Linked DNA regions of Macaca fascicularis. The protein of the gene in region 1 binds, or shares a complex with, the protein of each later gene. Links are inferred from orthologs where the notes say so. Each region holds a gene or a part of one and is shown on either strand. Other genes may lie near its edges.

The links. Proteins that work in one complex are often made in the same cells at the same time.
Region 2: POLR3D (region 1) and POLR3K share a complex: the UniProt entries of both Homo sapiens proteins name them as parts of the RNA polymerase III complex. The link is inferred for Macaca fascicularis from reciprocal best matches to the Homo sapiens genes POLR3D and POLR3K.

The regions. Positions count from the first base shown.
Region 1 is NC_088382.1:25,312,761-25,322,306, reverse strand, and holds the start of POLR3D (DNA-directed RNA polymerase III subunit RPC4), read right to left. Parts: upstream 4,948-9,546; 5' UTR 4,863-4,947; exon of another isoform or gene 4,826-4,862; intron 4,600-4,825; 5' UTR 4,595-4,599; coding exon 4,430-4,594; intron 2,831-4,429; coding exon 2,787-2,830; intron 2,202-2,786; coding exon 2,050-2,201; intron 1,906-2,049; coding exon 1,781-1,905; intron 1,577-1,780; coding exon 1,408-1,576; intron 1,013-1,407; coding exon 750-1,012; intron 1-749. UniProt on the Homo sapiens protein: DNA-dependent RNA polymerase catalyzes the transcription of DNA into RNA using the four ribonucleoside triphosphates as substrates.
Region 2 is NC_088394.1:778,456-788,001, reverse strand, and holds the start of POLR3K (DNA-directed RNA polymerase III subunit RPC10), read left to right. Parts: upstream 1-3,330; 5' UTR 3,331-3,382; coding exon 3,383-3,493; intron 3,494-5,914; coding exon 5,915-6,002; intron 6,003-9,546. Other genes in the region: SNRNP25 (U11/U12 small nuclear ribonucleoprotein 25 kDa protein), read right to left, coding at 434-508, 1,133-1,238, 1,466-1,556, 2,913-3,056. UniProt on the Homo sapiens protein: Core component of RNA polymerase III (Pol III) which synthesizes small non-coding RNAs using the four ribonucleoside triphosphates as substrates. Can mediate Pol I proofreading of the nascent RNA transcript.

The DNA.
Region 1 (9,546 bases):
CCCCCCACCTTAGCCTCCCAAGTAGCAGGGACTACAGGCACACGCCACCATGCCTGGCTAGTTTTTGTATTAGCCATGGTGCCACCATGTTGCCCAGGCCAGTCCCGATCTCCTGGGCTCAAGTGATCCTCCCGTCTTGCCCTTCCAAAGTGCTAGGATTAGAGGCATGAGCCACCGCACCTGGCCATATGTTCTCTCATTTGTTTTTTTTTTTTTTTTTTTTTTTGAGACGGAGTCTCGCTCTGTCACCCAGGCTGGAGTACTGTGGCCGGATCTCAGCTCACTGCAAGCTCCGCCTCCCGGGTTCCCGCCATTCTCCTGCCTCAGCCTCCCGAGTAGCTGGGACTACAGGCACCCACCACCTCACCCGGCTAGTTTTTTGTTTTTTTTTAGTAGAGACGGGGTTTCACCGTGTTAGCCAGGATGGTCTCAATCTCCTGACCTCGTGATCCGCCCGTCCCAGCCTCCCAAAGTGCTGGGATTACAGGCTTGAGCCACCGCGCCCGGCCTGTTCTCTCATTTGTATGTCTTTGAAATATTTCCTTATAAGAAGTGAACACACATCCCTGCAACACACACACACAATTGGGGTTGGAGGTACAAAGACCCATGGCTCTTGCAGGCATCAAGAAAAACCACCCATTATTGTCCCATTTCAGCCAGGGTGGCACGGCTTTGCTTCCCACTACAGGTCACCACTTCCCCTCTTAGTCCCCGACTCTATCCCACAGGCCTCTGCCTGAGCATACCCGGTCTTTCTCCTGCTTGATGAGCATCATCTGTCCATCCTCACCCTGCACCTCTGTCTTGATGGGCTTGATGTCCTGGGTGGGCGGCTGGCCAGGGAGGGTGTCTGGCAGCTGCAGAAACAGCAGTTCCTCCTCCTTGGTGAGGCTCAGCTCCCTGAGCAGCTCTGCCACGGATACATCCTTTGGGAGGCCTGGGGTCTTCCTGGCTGCTTTGGGGGGAGCCTTCATCTTGGCCTCTTCCTCATCTCGTGGCTCCTCTTTCACTGCCCGGGTGATAGAAATGGAATGCTATCACATGACCACCCTCCATACTAGCTCACTGTTACCAGCCCTTTGCCCCCGTCTGCTCCACTGTCACTCAGCCAGGGAGTGGGAAGGGGGCACTGGTTATAGAGAGGGGCAAGAGACAACATGTTTAAATCTCGCCTGACTTATCTAAAAAGCGACATCTGAGGCTGGGCCCACCGCTCCATGCCAACACAGGAACCCTCTGCGAGGGAGAATCGGGCATCTTTGTTCAGCTCATGTATCTTACAGCCGGGATGGGAGGACCTGCTCATGAGCAGCAGTCAGGGACACATGCAAAGGATGCCTGATGCACAGGATTCCTGGGGAGCAGCCATGGAATTGGAGATGAGAAGTTAACTGACAAGAGTACCTTTCACAGCAGGTACGTCCACCTCCATGTCTTCTTCCTTGGGGCCAGTCAGCCAAGGTTTAACATCTGGTTCGTCATTTTCTTCCTTAAAAAGCCACCCCGAGTGAGCCAGCGGCAGCTGCACAGGCATATTTCGAGTGTCGTTCCTCAGCCCGGGGTCATCGAGGAACTGCCAAAAAGAGTCTGGGTCATCCAGCCTGCTAGCACATGCACCTGGATCAAAGTCTGCTTTAGTCCCTTTCTAACCAAAGATTCCTGCTGCTCCCCAGGATTCCAGGACATCAGTGAGCTCTTCTGCCCCTCACCTGGCTCCCCAGAAGCCCTGTTCTACAGCCACAAGGAAGCCCCTTCCCCACAGCCTCCTGGTACCCACATCGTCCTTCTCCAGCATGCGCAAGATCTGTTTAGTTTCTTCGTCTGTCTCTCTCTTCTCTTTTTTGATGTTGATGATATGAGAAGGTCCCATGTCTGATACATCCACTGTCTTATCCCAGTTCCCTGTGGGAAATCACCCAGGTCACTAGGGATCAATAAGGAAGATGCCAACAGCAAGGAAAACTGAACTGGGAGCGGGGAAATTCCACTGCTCTCGCCCTTCTCTTGGGCAGTCTGAACTGAAATTCACTGATTCCTTCCTTGTACCTTTTTTCTTCATCATTTCGGCTGGGCCCTGCTCAAAGATGGAGTGAGACTGGATCACTTCTGGGCGGCCTCGTCCTCGTCCATGCCCCTCTCGCTGTCGGTCTCTGTCCCTTTCACGCTTCTCCTTCTTGACAGTTACTTCTTCCTTGGGCCTGGAAAAAAGAATGGATTAAGGGAAACCACTCACTCACTGTGTCTCCAAAAACTGGCCTTACTCTCCCATACCACTTCACTCCAAGACAGCGGAGAGTTTGAGCCAATAATTACACCATGAGAAGCAGAATCCAATCCTAATTCTAGCACTTTTCTCACTTCCTTGATGAGGCAGGATTTTTTCAGTTTGCTTTACTTTACGTTCTTGTCCAAAAATGTAGATTTTTGTTTGCATTGGGACTGAAAGCAGGAAGGCAGAAATGCAAAGGAACTTCAGGGAAAGCGTGATACATCTTTGTTTAAACTATTGGCTCTCAACTCGGGCCATCAAAGAGAATCACTCCATTCTACTGCCAACAAGTTAAATCACAATTTCTAGAGATGGAACCCTAGACACCAGTATTTTTTTTTTTTAAAGCTTAAACATTAGAATCACCTAGGAGCCAGGGTTGAAAATCACTAGTGAAAAGAACTAAAGATATAAATTTAAATTTTGGAGCCACAAACCTACTTATTTCTCCCCAAAGCCCCAAATTCAGAGCAAGTAAATAAGGGGCAAGTATTCAGAAGGACTAGCTACTTACTCTTCCTTGATCTTCCGACTGATGATATTTGGGGTGAAGGTTTTCTGAAAGCAAAATACAGGAGTCACTGATGTGTTAGGTCCTGATCCCAAAGTACAGAGGAAAATAAAAACTCCCAACGGGCATCTTCTACAGACCACGGCCACCATGACTCTCTTTGGCACATTCCACAGTGCTGTCAGTTTTCTAGATACACGTGTGCCTGAAAAGGAGGAACGTCATGGTGTGGTGGCAGTGGAGTTATGCATAGAAGAAAGGGGCACCAAAAACCATTTTTAACCAGCAGCCTTAGGAAAGAAGATCCTGAAAGAAGGTCCTCTGGGACTTCTAAAAGCAAAGGAATTTCTCTGGTCTCACCTCTTATCTTCAAACTGCTATAGAGACCAGTCAGTATCATGGGGGAACATCTCTAGCAGCAAGGCCTAAGTAGGGAAGGCCACAGATCTGCCAATACTCTCAATCACTGTTGGCAGTGTTTTTCCATATTTTCCAAGGCAAAGTTAGGTTTCTAAAGACTGCTTTATGTCCAGGCGTGGTGGCTCACGCCTGTAATCGCAGCACTTTGGGAGGCCAAGGCAGGTGGATCATGAGGTCAGGAGTTCAAGATCAGCCTGGCCAAGATGGTGAAACCCCGTCTCTACTAAAAACTACAAAAATTAGCCAGGTGCGGTGGCAGGCCTCTGTAATCCCAGCTACTCGGGAGGCTGAGGGAGGAGAATCGCTTGAACCCCAGGAGGTGGAGGTTGCAGTGAGCTGAGATGGTGCCTCTGTGCTACAGCCTGGGCGACAGAAAGAGACTCTGTTAAAAACAAAACAAACAAACAAAAAAAACTGCTTTATTTGGCCGGGAGCGGTGGCTCACGCCTGTAATCCCAGCACTTTGGGAGGCCGAGGTGGGTGGATCACAAGGTCAGGGGTTCAAGAACAGCCTGGCCAACATGGTGAAACCTTGTGTCTACTAAAAATACAAAAATCAGCTGGACATGGTGGCGGGCACCTGTAATCCCAGCTACTCAGGAGGCTGAGGCAGGAGAATCACTCAAACCCGGGAGGCAGAGGTTGCAGTGAGCCAAGATCATGCCATTACACTCCAGTTTGGGGGACTAGGGCGAGACTTCGTCTCAAAAAAAAAACCCAAAAACCTGCTTTATTCTTCTGTCATCCTGACACCACCCCTTTCTGGGCTACTCTTGACATCCACAGTCATATACACATGGGACAGCCCACAGAGCCTCGAATGCCATGCCTAGGATTCATGATACTCTAGATAACAAGTTTGCACACTGAGATGGTGAATTCTGAACGCTCTAAGACTGTGAAGTTTATGCCTGCCTGGCTTTCATGGGTTTCTTAAAAATGTCCAAACACACAATAAGAGTAAATAAACACTGTTCAAATTACTTTTGAACGACTTTAACTTATTAGGATTCTCTGTCTTTCAACCACCTCTGGGACTCATTTCAACATTTTGTACTCAGTACCTAGATTTGAAGATAGGACAGGCTCCCTAGAATTTAAAGAGGGGTAGGCTTGAGGCCCAACGACACTCCTGACACATAGTAGGCCCTACACAAACATCAGTTGAATGCCGGGGCTTGGAATTCAAGGTAGTTGAGTTTCTTTAGAAACGCGCCGTTGGATACCTTCTTGACTCCCCCGAGGGTGAGGTCCCTGGAACGGATGGAGGGAAGGCGGCCGGGGGTGAGGGGAGGCGCCGGCCGCCGCCCGATGAGCCCCCGGGCCCCAGTCAGGAGGGGTCGGGGCCCTCCCGGAGTGCTGGGCTCGCCGGCGGCGTTTCCTTCCGACATGTTGCCTGGGAGAGAAGGGGGGACGAGATTACCAGAGTGGACTGACACGCGGACCCTGGCGGAACCCAACCCCCTTGCTTTCCGGTCCCCCAGTCGGTGCGTCCCTCCAGTGGCCTCTCAGCTCCTCCCCTCCCACGTGGCGAGATTCCCGGGACCACCCAGGTGAGAGCCTTTGGCTCGCGACACGCCCTCTCTCCAGGAACCCCGCCCAGGAACCAGGCAGGGACGCACCCGGGCCGCGGCTCCACACCGCGCGTCACCACTTCACCTGCGACGCGACCCGCTGCCAGCTTTAGGTCTCCGCACCGGGCGGAAGTCTGCGTGGCACCGCCTGGGCGCTGCCATCTTGGCACGGGCCGGATGTGACGTTTCGGGGGCGGGACTGGGCCACAGTATTTATCAGGCGGCGCTTCGCTCCCCTCCGCCTTCTCTTCCCGGTTCTTCCCGGAGTCGGGAAAAGCTGGGTTGAGAGGGCGAAAAAGGATGAGGGAACCGGTCTGGGCTACGCTATGTGGCGGTGCTCGGGGGTCTTGGCCCCCGGGCGGTGGCGTGGAGGTGCCGAGATCAGGGTCGCGGGTCTTGTCGGCCGCCAAGCCGCAATGTGAGGCTTCGCCTCGGCGGAGCCCCTGGGAGCTTGGGGGTAGCTGCTCGGGATGGGACGAGGGGCGCGGCACAGAGAGCGAGACCTGGACTTAGAGTCGGGGAGTCTTGGGCCGTGCCGAGCCCTGTCTGCGGGTTCTCCATGGTGACCTTGGAGTGGTCACTACCTCCGGGCAGCGACCTCGCCCACTCTCGGGGACCCCTTCCCTGTGCTCCTGGTGGAGTCCTGGGGTGAGGCTGTGAGGGCAGCGTTGGAACAGCCGCAGTGGACCAACTGGTGCCCAGTCACACCCGCTTGGGATCACGAAGGCGGTGGCCCTCGGGTGCGCTCTTGGTCAAAGCCTGGACAGAATCGGAATACCAAGTTTGCTCTACTGCTGGAGGAATTTAAAGAACTTTTATTGACTCCAGCGTTTGTGATATAAAAAGTGTCGTTTAATGTTATCTCCCATCCCCCCAGACCGTATAAAAACATTATTACGGGGAGTTTGAGGAAAGGAAATCGTTTCTACCAGAATGCCACGTAGAGTACTACTATTAAAAATTTTGTAATGTGTCTAGTAGTCTTCACAGAGTTGTATCACAATTTCGTATCCTTTTTCTTTTCTTTTTTTGAGGCGAGGTTTCTGCATACTGCAACCTCTGCCTCCCAGCCTCAAGCCATGCTCCCACCTCAGCCTCCCAAGTAGCTGGGACTCTAAATACATGCCACCACGCCCGGCTAATTTTTTTTTTCTTTTTTCTTTTTCTTTTTCTTTTTTCTTTTTTTTTTTTTTTTGTATTTTTGGTAGAGACGGGATTTCACTGTGTTGCTCACACTGGTCTTGAACTCCTGAGCTCGAGTGATGCCACCCGCCTCGGCCTCCCAATGTGCTGGGGTTACAGGCGTCAGCCACTGCGCCTGGCCTGTATCCTGCTTTTTCAAATAACATTTCTCTGTTACGGCATCAAAGACTGCATAGTTCTCCAGTGGCTGTATCATGATTTAAGTATTTCCCTGATTGTTTCTTTTTTCCCTGTTTTAAATAATGCTGTAGTGAATATCTGGTACATTCGACGTGCTTTTTTTCAATTTTGTTTTGGTTTTTGTTTTCTTTCGGATTATATTCCTGGGATAGATTTCCCGTCCTGGGATAACTGGCCAAAAGAAGGTGGGTTTTTTTTTTGTTTTTTGTTTTTTTTTTTTTTTTTTTTTTTTTTAAAGTAAATATTTGGGATGGGCTTGGTGGCTTACGCTTGTAATCCCAGTGCTTTGGGAGGCGGAGGTGGGAGGATCGCTTGAAAGGCTCAGCAGTTCGAGATTGCAGTGAGCTACGATCCAGCCCCCACACTCCAGCCTGGGTGACACAGCAAGACCCTATCTCTAAAAACATTTTTTAAATTAAACTTTTTATTTTGAGAACATGGTAGATTCATGTAGAGTTATAAGAAACCATGTAGAGAGATCCCAAGTATTGTTTATTCATTTTCCCCCAGTAGTAACATCTTGCCATCAGAATATTGACATTGGTGCAGTCAAGATACAAGAAGTTACCATCACAAGGATTCCTCTAGCTGCCCTTTTATAGCCACACTTCCCTCCCCCCACCTCCTCCCACCACTAATCTGTTTTCCATTTCTGCCATTTTGGTATTTCAAAAGTGTTATATAAATGGAATCGTACAGTATGTGACTTCTTGGGATTGCTTTTTTCACTCGGCATTGTTCCCCGGAGATCATCCAAGTTGTTGCGTGTATCAATAGTTCGTTCCCTTTTATTGCAAAGTATTCATGGTTTGTTTAACCATTCACCCTCTGAAAGACATCTGGGTGGTTTTCCGTGTGGGGTTATTATGGATAAAGCTGCTGTGAAAATACATGTACAAGATTTTGTGTGAACATAAGTTTTTATTTCTCTGGGATAATTGCCCATGAGTGCAATCATTGGGTCATGTGGTAGTTGTATCTTAGTTTTACAAGAAACTGCCAAGCTGTTTTCCACAGTGGCTGTACCATTTTGTACGTGCACATTTTATGGTTCTTCATTCATATTGCTAAATTGCTTTCAAAAAGGATTGTGCGGCCGGGCCTGGTGGCTCACACCAGTAATCCCAGCACTTTGGAAGGCCAAGGTGGGCAGATCACTTGAGGTCAGGAGTTCCAGACCAGCTGGCCAACATGGCGAAACCCCGTCTCTACTAAAAATACAAAAATTAGCTGGGTGTGATGGTGCATGCCCATAATTCCAGCTACTTGGGAGGCTGAGGCACGAGAATCGCTTGAACCGGGGAGGCGGAGGTTGCAGTGAGCTGAGATCACGCCGTTGCACTCCAACCTGGGCGACAGGGGGACAGTCTGTCTCAAAACACCAAAAACAAACAAACTCCACAAAAAAAAATAAAAAAGATTGTGCTGAAATACATCAACACTAAGAATGTGTGTATATACAATAATCAAATGTATACACATATACACACATTGTGGGCTTTTGATGGAGTCCTGGGTGAGGCTATGTGGGCAGCCTTGGAACAGCCACAATGGGTCAACCGGTGCCTAGTCACACCCATCCTGGGCTCACAGCAGTGGCCCTCATGTGCACTCATTGTCAAAGCCTGGAAGGAATCTGAATACCAAGTTTGCTCTACTGTTGGAATTTAAAGAACTTTTATTGGCTAGGTGTGGTGGCTCATGCCTGTAATGCCAGCACTTTGGGAGGCTGAGGCGGGTGGATCACCTGAGGTCAGGAGTTCGAGACCAGCCTGGCCAACATGGTGAAACCCTGTCTCTACTAAAAGTACAAAAATTAGCCAGGCGTGGTGGCGGGCATCAGTAATCCCAGCTACTTGGGAGGTTGAGGCCGGAGAATCGCTTGAACCCAGGAGAAGGAGATTGCAGTGCGCCAAGATTGCGCCATTGCACTCCAGCCTGGGCGACAAGAGCAAAACTCCATCTGAAAACAAACAAACAAACAGGCTGGGCGCAGTGGCTCACACCTATAATCCCAGCACTTTGGGAGGCCAAGGTGGGCGGATCACAAGGTCAGGAGTTCGAGACTAGCCTGACCAACATGGTGAAAACCCATCTCTACTAAAAATACAAAAATTAGCTGGGCGTGGTGGCATGCGCCTGTAATCCCAGCTACTTGGGAGGCTGAGGCAGGAGAATAGGTTGAATCCGGGAGGCGGATGTTGCAGTGAGCCGAGATCGCGCCACTGCACTCCAGCCTGGGAGACAGAGGAAGACTCCGTTTCAAAAAAAAAAAAGAACTTTTATTGACTTTGAAATTTATTGACTCCGTACACACACACACACACACACACGCACACACAGGTAGTACATAAGAATATATAATTTTAGGGTGTAGTGGCACCCACCTGTAGTGCCAGCTACTTGGGAGGCTGAGGTGAGAGGATCGATTGATCCCAGGAGGTGGAGGCTGCAGTGAGCTCTGATTGTGCTACTGCACTCCAGCCTGGGAGACAGAGGAGACCTTGTCTCAAAAAAACAAACAAAAAAGAGAATATATAATTTTTTGTCCACATCCTTTTGAGTATTGGCTCTTAAAATTTAAAACTTTGTTTGCCAATTTACTAATATTTTGTTATGTTGCTTTCTAAACAGACCTTTTTCAACTTCTTTCTGCATGTTGATTTTACAATAATCAAACCAAACCTATACCCTTTTCCTGTTCCCTACAGAGCTACACGCAACAGCCCTTAGTTTCTAATTAGAGCACTGGGTGAAATAGCTTTGATTTCATTCTGTTGGGCTTTGAAGTTCACCAAGTAGTAGCTTTCCTGGTTTATTTTGTATTTTTAAAAGTACACTCATTCATTTTAGAAAATTTGGAAAAATTTAAAAAGCACTGAGAAGAAAAAGCTATCCATTATTATCCCATCAAATGTTTTATATACTTGAAGTCATTTTTCTATGCATTTAGATTTTTTTTTTTTTTTTTTTTTTTTTTTTTTTGAGATGGAGTCTCGCTGTGTTACCCAGGCTGGAGTGCAGTGGCACGATCTCGGCTCACTGCAAGCTCCTCCTCCCGGGTTTACGCCATTCTCCCACCTCAGCCTCCGAGTAGCTGGGACTACAGGCGCGCACCACCACGCCCGGTTAATTTTTTGTATTTTTAGTAGAGACAGGGTTTCACCATGTTAGCCAGGATGGTCTTGATCTTCTGACCTCGTGATCCGCCCGCCTCGGCCTCCCAAAGTGCTGCGATTACAGGCTTGAGCCACCGAGCCTGGCCGCATTTAGATTTTTTTTAATTGGGATATTTTACACAGGGGTCTTTTAACATTTTTATCTATTTATTTATTTTGAGGCCAGGTTATGAGACTGGCTAGTTTTTGTATTTTTGGTAGAGTCGG
Region 2 (9,546 bases), on another chromosome or scaffold:
GAAGGACACATCTGTGACTCCCCTCCTTAGGCTTGTGGGGGGCCACGAAGAAACAACAGAGGGGAGGCATGTGGCCTCTGGGAAGGCCAGGAAGTGGTAGTGGCCATCCTCTCACAGACCCAGAAGCACTCTGACTCACAAGTCCCTGGGGCAGGGAACTGAGTGTCAGATAGTCATAGCCTTTCGCTTCCATGCCCACTCTGATTTCCTCCCTCCTGGCACTGTGTAGCCCTAAGCTGCCACTGGTGGGAAGCAGCAAGGCCCCTCCAGTGCCCTCTGCCTGCCATTCTCCTAGTGGGGAGGGCCCCAAGGAAGCTCCTTGGAGGAGGGTGTTACCTCCAGAGAGTGAGCCGCAGCCCTCTGGCAGAGCACGGGGGACTAGGGGTCAACAGAACAGCTGTCCCCTACAGCTCAAGATGTGGCCGGCACTTACTCTCGGAGCTTCTTTTTATCTTCTGTGAGTTTCTCTCCGGCAGAGGTCAGATGGTACGTCCTCCACACATAAGACCTGCAAGAGGGGAACGCAGGTAAACCACACGCCCTGAGCAGGGTGAGCTGAGTGGCTGTGCATGGCGTGGGCTTGAGGCATTCAGCCCTATGGGACCTGGGGCAGCTGTCCTCCCTACCTGGGCTGTTCTGTACAATGTGCAAATTGGCTCTGAGGCGGCTGCACGGAGGCTCTGTTCTCAGAGGCCTGTATGGGGCGGCTTGCTAATGCAATAGGTGACAGTGTTGAGACTCAGTGAACAGGACAGTTGATCCAATAGGAGAGTGAGGGCTGCCAGCACCCAGGTGAGAAGGGGATGGTAGCCACTACAGGTGTACCATCCATAACTAGGGAGGCCACTTCCACACACACTGGAAATGCCCGACGGGGTCCCCAAGTGAGGATATCCAGCAGCTTGGATGGGGTGATGGCGATGAAAGCAGTATGTTAGGGATGGCCGAGGCAGGAGTCCCAGGCACAGAAGGACCTGCACTGTCTGAACTCTTGTGACGGGGAGCTCATCACTTCAGTGGTGCTGTACTCATGCAGAGTTGAGAGCTGTTTCCAGGTGGTGCCTGGTGACAGTGCCAAGAACAGCACTAGCCCCAGGAAGGGCTATAATGAAGGGATTGTCGTTCCACTTACCAGCTGATGTGCTGAATGCCCCCTTCACGCTCCTGCTTGAGCTGCACGTATCTCTGGATGGCCTTCTTCAGGTCCAGGACGGTGGCACTCTGCACTACCACCACAGCTGCAACCACGGACACAGATGGGAGAAGATCCACAGTGAGAACCCAAAGCCATAGCCTCCGATGGCAGGAAAGGAACCCGGAAGCTCTGTGCACAGGGCAGGTTTGTGGTTGCCCCAGTACCCCTGGGCATGGCCTGTGAGTTGCGGAGCAGGCTGACCAGCACTGTTACATTTTGCTGCTGTGAAAGCCTGGACCACATAACCTGAAGGGAGGAGGGCACACTTACGCATTACTTCTCCATCCATCTTGCACACTCGGACCGTCATTGCCTGGCCATATTCTAGGGCTATTTGGGAGTTGACTTCTTCCAAAGTAACCTAGAAAAGACCAAGGGCAGAAGTGGGAACCCTGGCTGTCTTTACAACAACAAAGAACAAGCTGACAGTGGCCAAAAAGTGGTGCTCCATTTTACGAAGGGCAAGGAAGGGTACTTGCATATATGTTAGAGTTTCCCAATTCATCAGAGCCCCAATCTCATGTTCCACTCACATTTTAATGTCCAAAGTGGACAGAGTCTCTGGGGGAAAGAGGTGCTAAAAAACAGGCAAGAGAATAAACTCACATGAGGATCCATCCCCAGGGGTGGGTGGGGTCCTGTCAGTTCACCCTGAGTATCCCTGATCATCAGGACCCAGGCCAGGGCCCAGGACTGAGTAAGGCAGGTGTACACAAAAAACGGTAATAACAAATATTTTAATACAACATTTAAGAAATACAAGGCAATTAAAATATCCATGATGAGCAAAATATAAAACATTTAAAACTGGCCGGGTGCGGTGGTCCACGCCTGTAATCCCAGCACTTGGGAGGCCGAGGCCAGCGGATCACTAGATCAGGAGATTGAGACCATCCTGGCCAACATGGTGAAACCCCGTCTCCACTAAAATACAAAAAATTAGCCGGGCGTTGTGCCGTGTTCCTGTAGTGAACCTGGGAGTGGGAGGTTGCAGTGAGCCAAGATCGCACCACTACACTCCAGCCTGGCGACAAATCAAGACTCAGTCTCAAATAAATAAAAAGTATCGTGCCAAAGCATATTGACGCTTGAGGCAAATGGAACTAAGTTTTTTCGTTTATCGTAGGGTTTTTTTTTTTTTTTTTTTTTTTTTTGCATCACCTTTGACTTTTAAAGCTATTACAGGCCGAGTGGGTGGCTCACACCTATAATCCCAGCTTTTTGGGAGGCTGAGGTAGGAGAATCGCCTGAGCCCAGGAGTTTGACACCAGCCTGGGCAACATAGTGGGACTCCCTCTGTACAAAAAATTTAAAAATTAGCCGGGTGTGGTGGCGCGCATCTGTGGTCCCAATTACTCCGGAGGCTGAGGTGGGAGGATGGCTTGAGCTCAGGAGGTGCAGGCTGCAGTGAGCCAAGATCGCTCCACTGCACTCCAGCCTGGGCGACAGAGCAAGACCCTGTCCCCCCAGCCCCCTAAATACAATTACATTAAAATTTCATTTAATGTCACTCACTAATGAGGGTTTTGGTTCCTCTTTAAACTTCGCGCCGCAGGCGAGTGTGCCTGGCCAAGGTAAAGACCCTTGTTTACGCCCAGAGGCGCCTTCCTCAGCCTTGGGCCGCAGCCTCCCACCAGCACCTTCAGAGGCTGCGCGCGCCCGGACGCCCGGCCCCCGGGGAACGACTCCCGCCCCCCTGGCCCCCGCCAGCACACACCTGGATCGGCAGATCGCAGAGCAGCGGGTCCTGCACCACCATAGCCAGACCCTCCTGGAACACGTCCATGGCCTCGGAGTGCGGCAGCGCCTCTTCTTCGTCCTCATCTTCCTCTTGCGCCTCGGACCCACCCGCGGCCTCCATCTCCTCCAGGGCAGCACCTCTCAGCCGGTCTCTGCCGGCACTTCCAGTACGCACTAGGGAGGCCAAGCGCGCACGCGCAGGAACTGCGGCCGGTCCCAGCGAGGCCGCCCAGCCATTGGTGCGCCGAGGGGTGGGGCGGCTGCAGTGACCAATGACAAGTGCGAGACAGCCAGCAGCAGGGCTGGGAGCGCAGAATCGCCCTGTCTATTGGTTGGTGGGCGGGGCGAGGCGGCCGCCAGGACCAATGTAAGCTCGAGGCGGGCCGCGCGTCGGCGCTGAGCGGCAGTGTGAGCTGCCGGTGGTTGGCGCCTGCGGAGTTCGAGACCATGCTGCTATTCTGCCCCGGCTGCGGGAACGGGCTGATCGTGGAGGAGGGACAACGCTGCCACCGCTTCGCCTGCAACACGTGCCCCTACGTGCACAACATCACCCGCAAGGTGGGACCCGAAGGCCGGCGCTGGGCCGCGGGCGCCTCTCGCAGGCCTTCCCCTTCCTCCGACTGCGGCGCCATCGCCGCCAGCCCCGGCGTCTGCCTCTGTCCGCTCTTTCTCGCTCCCCCTTCCGGTCTGCAGCAGATCTGTGGGCTCTTTCTGTGGGCTCCAGCACACTCAGAAAGCCCCACCGTTTCCCGCCTCCTTGGGTTCCTGCTCCCACGCTTGCGCCCTCCTCTGCGTTCACAGCAGCGGCCACGGCGATTCCCTTAAAGCTGAGGCACGTAGGTCCGTGCTGTGCGCAGAAACCTTCGGCCGTTCCCCAGCTCGTGCAGACGAAAAGCTGGAATTCTTCCAGGGCCTACCATGTTCAGACACTGACCCCCTCCCCGACTTGCTTCTCCGATTTCAAGTCCTATTGCCCTTTGCCCCATCAACACCAGCCTCCTGGACGATCTCTCATTGTGCACATGGCGCTCGCAGGGCCTTTGCACTTACTGTTACTAACTTCGCTCTTCCCCTAGATAGCCACCTTACTCATTGGTCTTGTCTTTACCGTATTTTAAATTGCAGCCCCTCCGTCCAATGTATCCTCCTTCCCTTTGTAATTGTTTCCACAGGGCTTGTTACCTTCGAATACATTACGTAATGTATCGTGTGCTTTGTTTATTAATAGTAGGACCTGGCCGGGCGCCGTGGCTCACGCCTCTAATCCCAGCACTTTCGGAGGCCAAGGCGGGTGTATCACTTGAGGTTAGGAGTTCGAGACCAGCCTGACTGACATGATGAAACCCCATCTCTACTAAAAATACAAAAATTAGCCGGGCATGGTGGCAGGCGCCTGTAATCCCAGCTATTCGGGAGACCGAGGCAGGAGAATGGCTTGAACTTGGGCGGCGGAGGTTTCAGTGAGCCAAGATCGCGCCACTGCACTCCAGCCTGGGCAACAAGAGTGAAACTCCGTTTCAAAAAAAAGAAAAAAAAAGTAGGACCTAAGGTCTAGGAGGGCAGAGGTTTTCCGTTTTGTTCCCTTCTATGTTATATTCTGAACAACTAAAATGAAACCTAGAATATAGTAGGTGTTCAGTAAGCAGATGATGCATGCTTTATTATAACTTGTTGTTTTCCTTTGATAATACATATTTTCTTTTTACTTTTTAGAATACTTTTACTTTTTTTTTTTTTTTTGAGACGGAGTCTCCCTCTGTCGCCCAGGCTGGAGTGCAGTGGCGCCATCTCGGTTCACTGCAAGCTTCGCCTCCCGTGTTCACGCCATTCTCCTGCCTCAGCCTCCCTAGTAGCTGGGACTATAGGCGCCCACCACCACGCCCGGCTAATTTTTAATATTTTTAGTAGAGACAGGGTTTCACCGTGTTAGCCAGGATGGTCTCAATCTCCTGACCTTGTGATCCGCCCGCCTCGGCCTCCCAAAGTGCTGGGATTACAGGTGTGAGCCACCACGCCTGGCCAATTTTTTTGTGTTTTTAGTGGACAGGCTTTCCCCGTGTATTAGCCAGGATGGTCTCGATCTCCTGACCTTGTGATCCGCCTGCCTTGGCCTCCCAAAGTGCTGGGATTACAGGCGTGAGCCACCGTGCCCAGCTTTTTTTTTTTTTTTTTGAGACACAGTCTGGCTTTGCTTCCCAGGCTGGAGTGCAATGGTGCAATCTCGGCTCACTGCCACCTCTGCCTCCCGGGTTCAAACAATTCTTCTGCCTTAGCTTCCTGAGTAGCTGGGATTACAGGCTCCTGCCACCACCCCCCAGCTAATTTTTGTATTTTTGGTAAAGACGGGGTTTCACCACGGTGACCAGGCTGGTCTCGAACTCCTGACCTCAGGTGATCCACTTGCCTTGGTCTCCCAAAGTGCTGGGATTACAGGCATGAGCCACGACGTCTGGCCAGAATACCTTTATTTTTAGAAGTTAGAATATGTTGGTGCTACCGCCGGGCGCGGTGGCTCACGCCTGTAATCCCAGCACTTTGGGAGGCCGAGGCGGGCGGATCACAAGGTCAGGAGATCGAGACCACGGTGAAACCCCGTCTCTACTAAAAATACAAAAAATTAGCCGGGCGCGGTGGCGGGCGCCTGTAGTCCCAGCTACTCAGGAGGCTGAGGCAGGAGAATGGCGTAAACCCAGGAGGCGGAGCTTGCAGTGAGCCGAGATCGCGCCACTGCACTCCAGCCTGGGCGACAGAGCGAGACTCCGTCTCAAAAAACAAAACAAAACAAAACAAAAAAAAGAATATGTTGGTGCTACCTCAGTCTTAATGTTTGCATGCTACTACATTTTGTACTGTGTTGTGGGAGTTTGGAGTTGGAAACTGTGGGAAGAGTGAACTCTTATATAATCCTGAAATTCGAGGTTTGGCAGCCCAGGTTTGTGCTATGCAGTTACCTGGAGTCTGAAGTGTTGTTTTTGTTAGGTAACAAATCGGAAGTACCCAAAACTGAAAGAAGTGGATGATGTGCTTGGTGGAGCAGCTGCCTGGGAGAATGTTGACTCTACTGCAGGTAAGAGGGAACACTGTTTCTGTTGCTAAACTGGATAATTATGAGGCTGTTGATGCCACTGCATGGCAGAGTCTGTGATGTCATATAAATGATGTAGGTTTCTAAAAATAGAAATGGTTTTTGAATAATTTATTAGTATTTGTTACTGTTTAGTAATCTGTTACACAAGCAATATTTGTACAAGCCTTGGAGTCATACAGGCCCATGTTAGATCCTCAGGCCCTTGTACTGTGGTAGGACCTTCCTTGGGTCTCTTGACTTCTCTGGGGCTAATCCATATTCGTAGATCGTGAGAGCATAAAGTGAGTTATACCGTGCTTGGTATATAAGAGGCAGTGAGCAGGTGATAGCTTTGATAATGGCAATGATGAGTAGATTAATAAAAATAAGAATCTAAGGAAAAAAGTATGTTCTTTCTGTTTGATATGGTTTGGCTGTGTCTTCACCCAAACATCTTTTTATTTTTATTTTTTTTTTGAGACTGAGTCTGGCTCTGTCGTCCAGGCTGGAGTGCAGTGGCCGGATCTCCGCTCACTGCAAGCTCCGCCTCCCGGGTTTACGCCATTCTCCTGCCTCAGCCTCCCGAGTAGCTGGGACTACAGGCGCCGCCACTTCGCCCGGCTAGTTTTTTGTATTTTTTAGTAGAGACGGGGTTTCACCGTGTTCGCCAGGATGGTCTCGATCTCCTGACCTTGTGATCCACCCGTCTCGGCCTCCCAAAGTGCTGGGATTACAGGCTTGAGCCACCGTGCCCGGCCACCACCCAAACATCTTGAATTATGGTTCTTGTAATCCCCAGGTGTCCTGGGAGGGGCTCACTGGGAAGGAATTGAGTCAGTCATGGGAGTGGTTCCCCCCCCTCCGTGCTGTTCTCACAAGATCTGATTGTTTTATGAGCGTTTGGCATTTCCCCTGCTCACACTCATTCTGTCTTTTGCTGCCTGTGTGAAGAGGTACCTTCCTCCATGATTGTAGGTTTCCTGAGGCATCCGCAACCACACAGAACTGTGAGTAAATTTAGACCCCTTTTCTTGGCTGGGCGCGGTGGCTCACGCCTGTAATCCCAGCAGTTTGGGAGGCCAAGGTTGGCAAATCACTTGAGGTCAGGAGTTCCAGACCAGCCTGGCCCACATGGCGAAACCCTGTCTCTGCTAAAAATAAAATAATTAGTCGGTCGTGGTGGTGCGAGCCTGTAGACCCAGCTGCTCAGGAGGCTGAGGCACGAGAATTGCTTGAACCCGGGAGGCAGAGGTTGCAGTGAGCTGAGATCGCACTATTGTGCTCCAGCCTTGATGACAAGAGTGAGACTCTGTCTCAAAACAAACAAACCAACAAACGAAACCGCTTTTTCCTATGTAAATTACCCAGTCTCAGGTATTCATATCAGTGTGAGAACGGACTAATACACTGTGCTCATATAGATTTCTAGAAGTTAATACCAATGAGCATGAGCATTAAACTGCAGATTGGGTAAAATAAATGTGTATTGCATGTCTGATAGAGATAGATGTGACCAGCAGAGGAAAGGGGAAGGCCCTAAATATAAGATGTATTGAGAGGAGAGAGAGAACTGATGGTTAGTACTGTGTTTTTCCCCCGATAGAAGAACATATAGGCCGGGTGCGGTGGCTCACACCTGCAATCCCAGCACTTTGGGAGGCCAGTACGGGCGGATCACCTGAGGTCAGGAGTTTGAAAGCAGCCTGGCTAACACGAAGAAACCCCGTTTCTACTAAAAATACAAAAAATTAGGCAGGTGTGGTGGCGGGCACTGGTAATGCCAGCTACTCGGGAGGCTGGCACAGGTGAATCACTTGAACCCGGGAAGCAGAGGTTGCAGTGAGCCGAGATTGCGTCATTGCACTCCAGCTTGGGCAACAAGAGGGAAACTGTCAAAAAAAAAAAAAAAAGAAGAACATAGAAATCTAATCTGCTATGTGAAAAAGTTAGTGGCCAGCGCGGTGGCTCACACCTATAATCTCAGCACTTTGGGAGGCCAGTGCGGGTGGATCATGAGGTCAAGACATCAAGACCATCCTGGCCAACATGGTGAAACCCTGTTTCTTTTAAAAATACAAAAAGTAGCTGGGTGTGGTGGTCCATGCCTGTAATCCCAGCTACTTGGGAGGTTGAGGCAGGAGAATTGCTTGAACCAGAAGGCAGAGGTTGCAGTGAGCCGAGACCGTGCCACTGCACTCCAGCTTGAGCAAGACTGTCTTAAAAAAAAAGATTAAGGCCGGGCGCGGTGGCTCAGGCCTGTAATCCCAGCACTTTGGGAGGCCGAGGCGGGCGGATCACGAGGTCAGGAGATCGAGACCATCCTGGCTGACACGGTGAAACCCCGTCTCTACTAAAAAAATACAAAAAACTAGCCGGGCGAGGTGGCGGGCGCCTGTAGTCCCAGCTACTGGGGAGGCTGAGGCAGGAGAATGGCGTGAACCCGGGAGGCGGAGCTTGCAGTGAGCTGAGATCCGGCCACTGCACTCCAGCCTGGGCGGCAGAGCGAGACTCCGTCTCAAAAAAAAAAAAAAAAAAAGATTAAGTACCTAATGTCAGAAATAGTGTTAGAGTGTTTGAAGCCATTTCTATCAGGTGTGGAATAAGTTTCTCAAAGTGAAATCGCTTTGAAGGGAAATATGTACTTCTCTCTCTTTTTTTTTTTTTTTTTTTTTTTTGACGGAGTCTTGCTCTGTCACCCAGGCTGGAGTGCAATGGCGTGATCTCGGCTCACTGCAATGTCCACCTCCTGGGTTCAAACAATTCTCTTGCCCGAGGCTCCCAGGTAGCTGGGATTACAGATGCTCACCACCATGCCCGGCTAATTTTTTGTATTTTTAATAGAGACAGGTTTCACCATATTGGCCAGGATGGTCTCGATCTCCTGACCTCGTGATCCCGCCTGCCTCGGCCTCCCAAAGTGCTGGGATTACAGGCATGAGCCACCGCACTCAGCCCATAAATCACTATCTTTATTTGCACTGCTATAACAGAATACCACATACCGGGTAATTTATAAAGAACAGAAATTTATTGCTCACAATTCTGGAGGTTGAGAAGTCCTTGTACAAATCACCAGCAGGTTTGGTGTCTGGTAGGGTCTGGCTTAGTAATGGTGCCCTGGAATACAGGGAGCAGAGAGCCAGGGGAGCTATAGGAAACCCTGAGGTACCTCGAAACCACTCTGGGCCTGTGATGGGCATGGCATCCCTTCATCCCACCCCAAGATCTCCAAAATGCCTTGAAGAGGTCATCCTCCCATTGCTTGACGAATAGCATCTGGCTTCCTTCTGTCTGTACTCATCTCTGTATCACATGGTCCCTTGACCATACCCTTGGTTTTCTCTCCTAAATCCACTTTTTTGTTTTTTTTGTTTTTTGAGACAGGGTCTTGCTCTGGTGCCCAAGTTCTAGTGGTGCGATCATGGCTCACTGCAGCCTCCACCACCCAGTCTCAAGCATTCCTCCGACCTCAGCCTCCTGAGTAGCTGAGACCGTAGGTGCTTGCCACCATATCCAGCTAATAATAATTAATAATTATTATTGG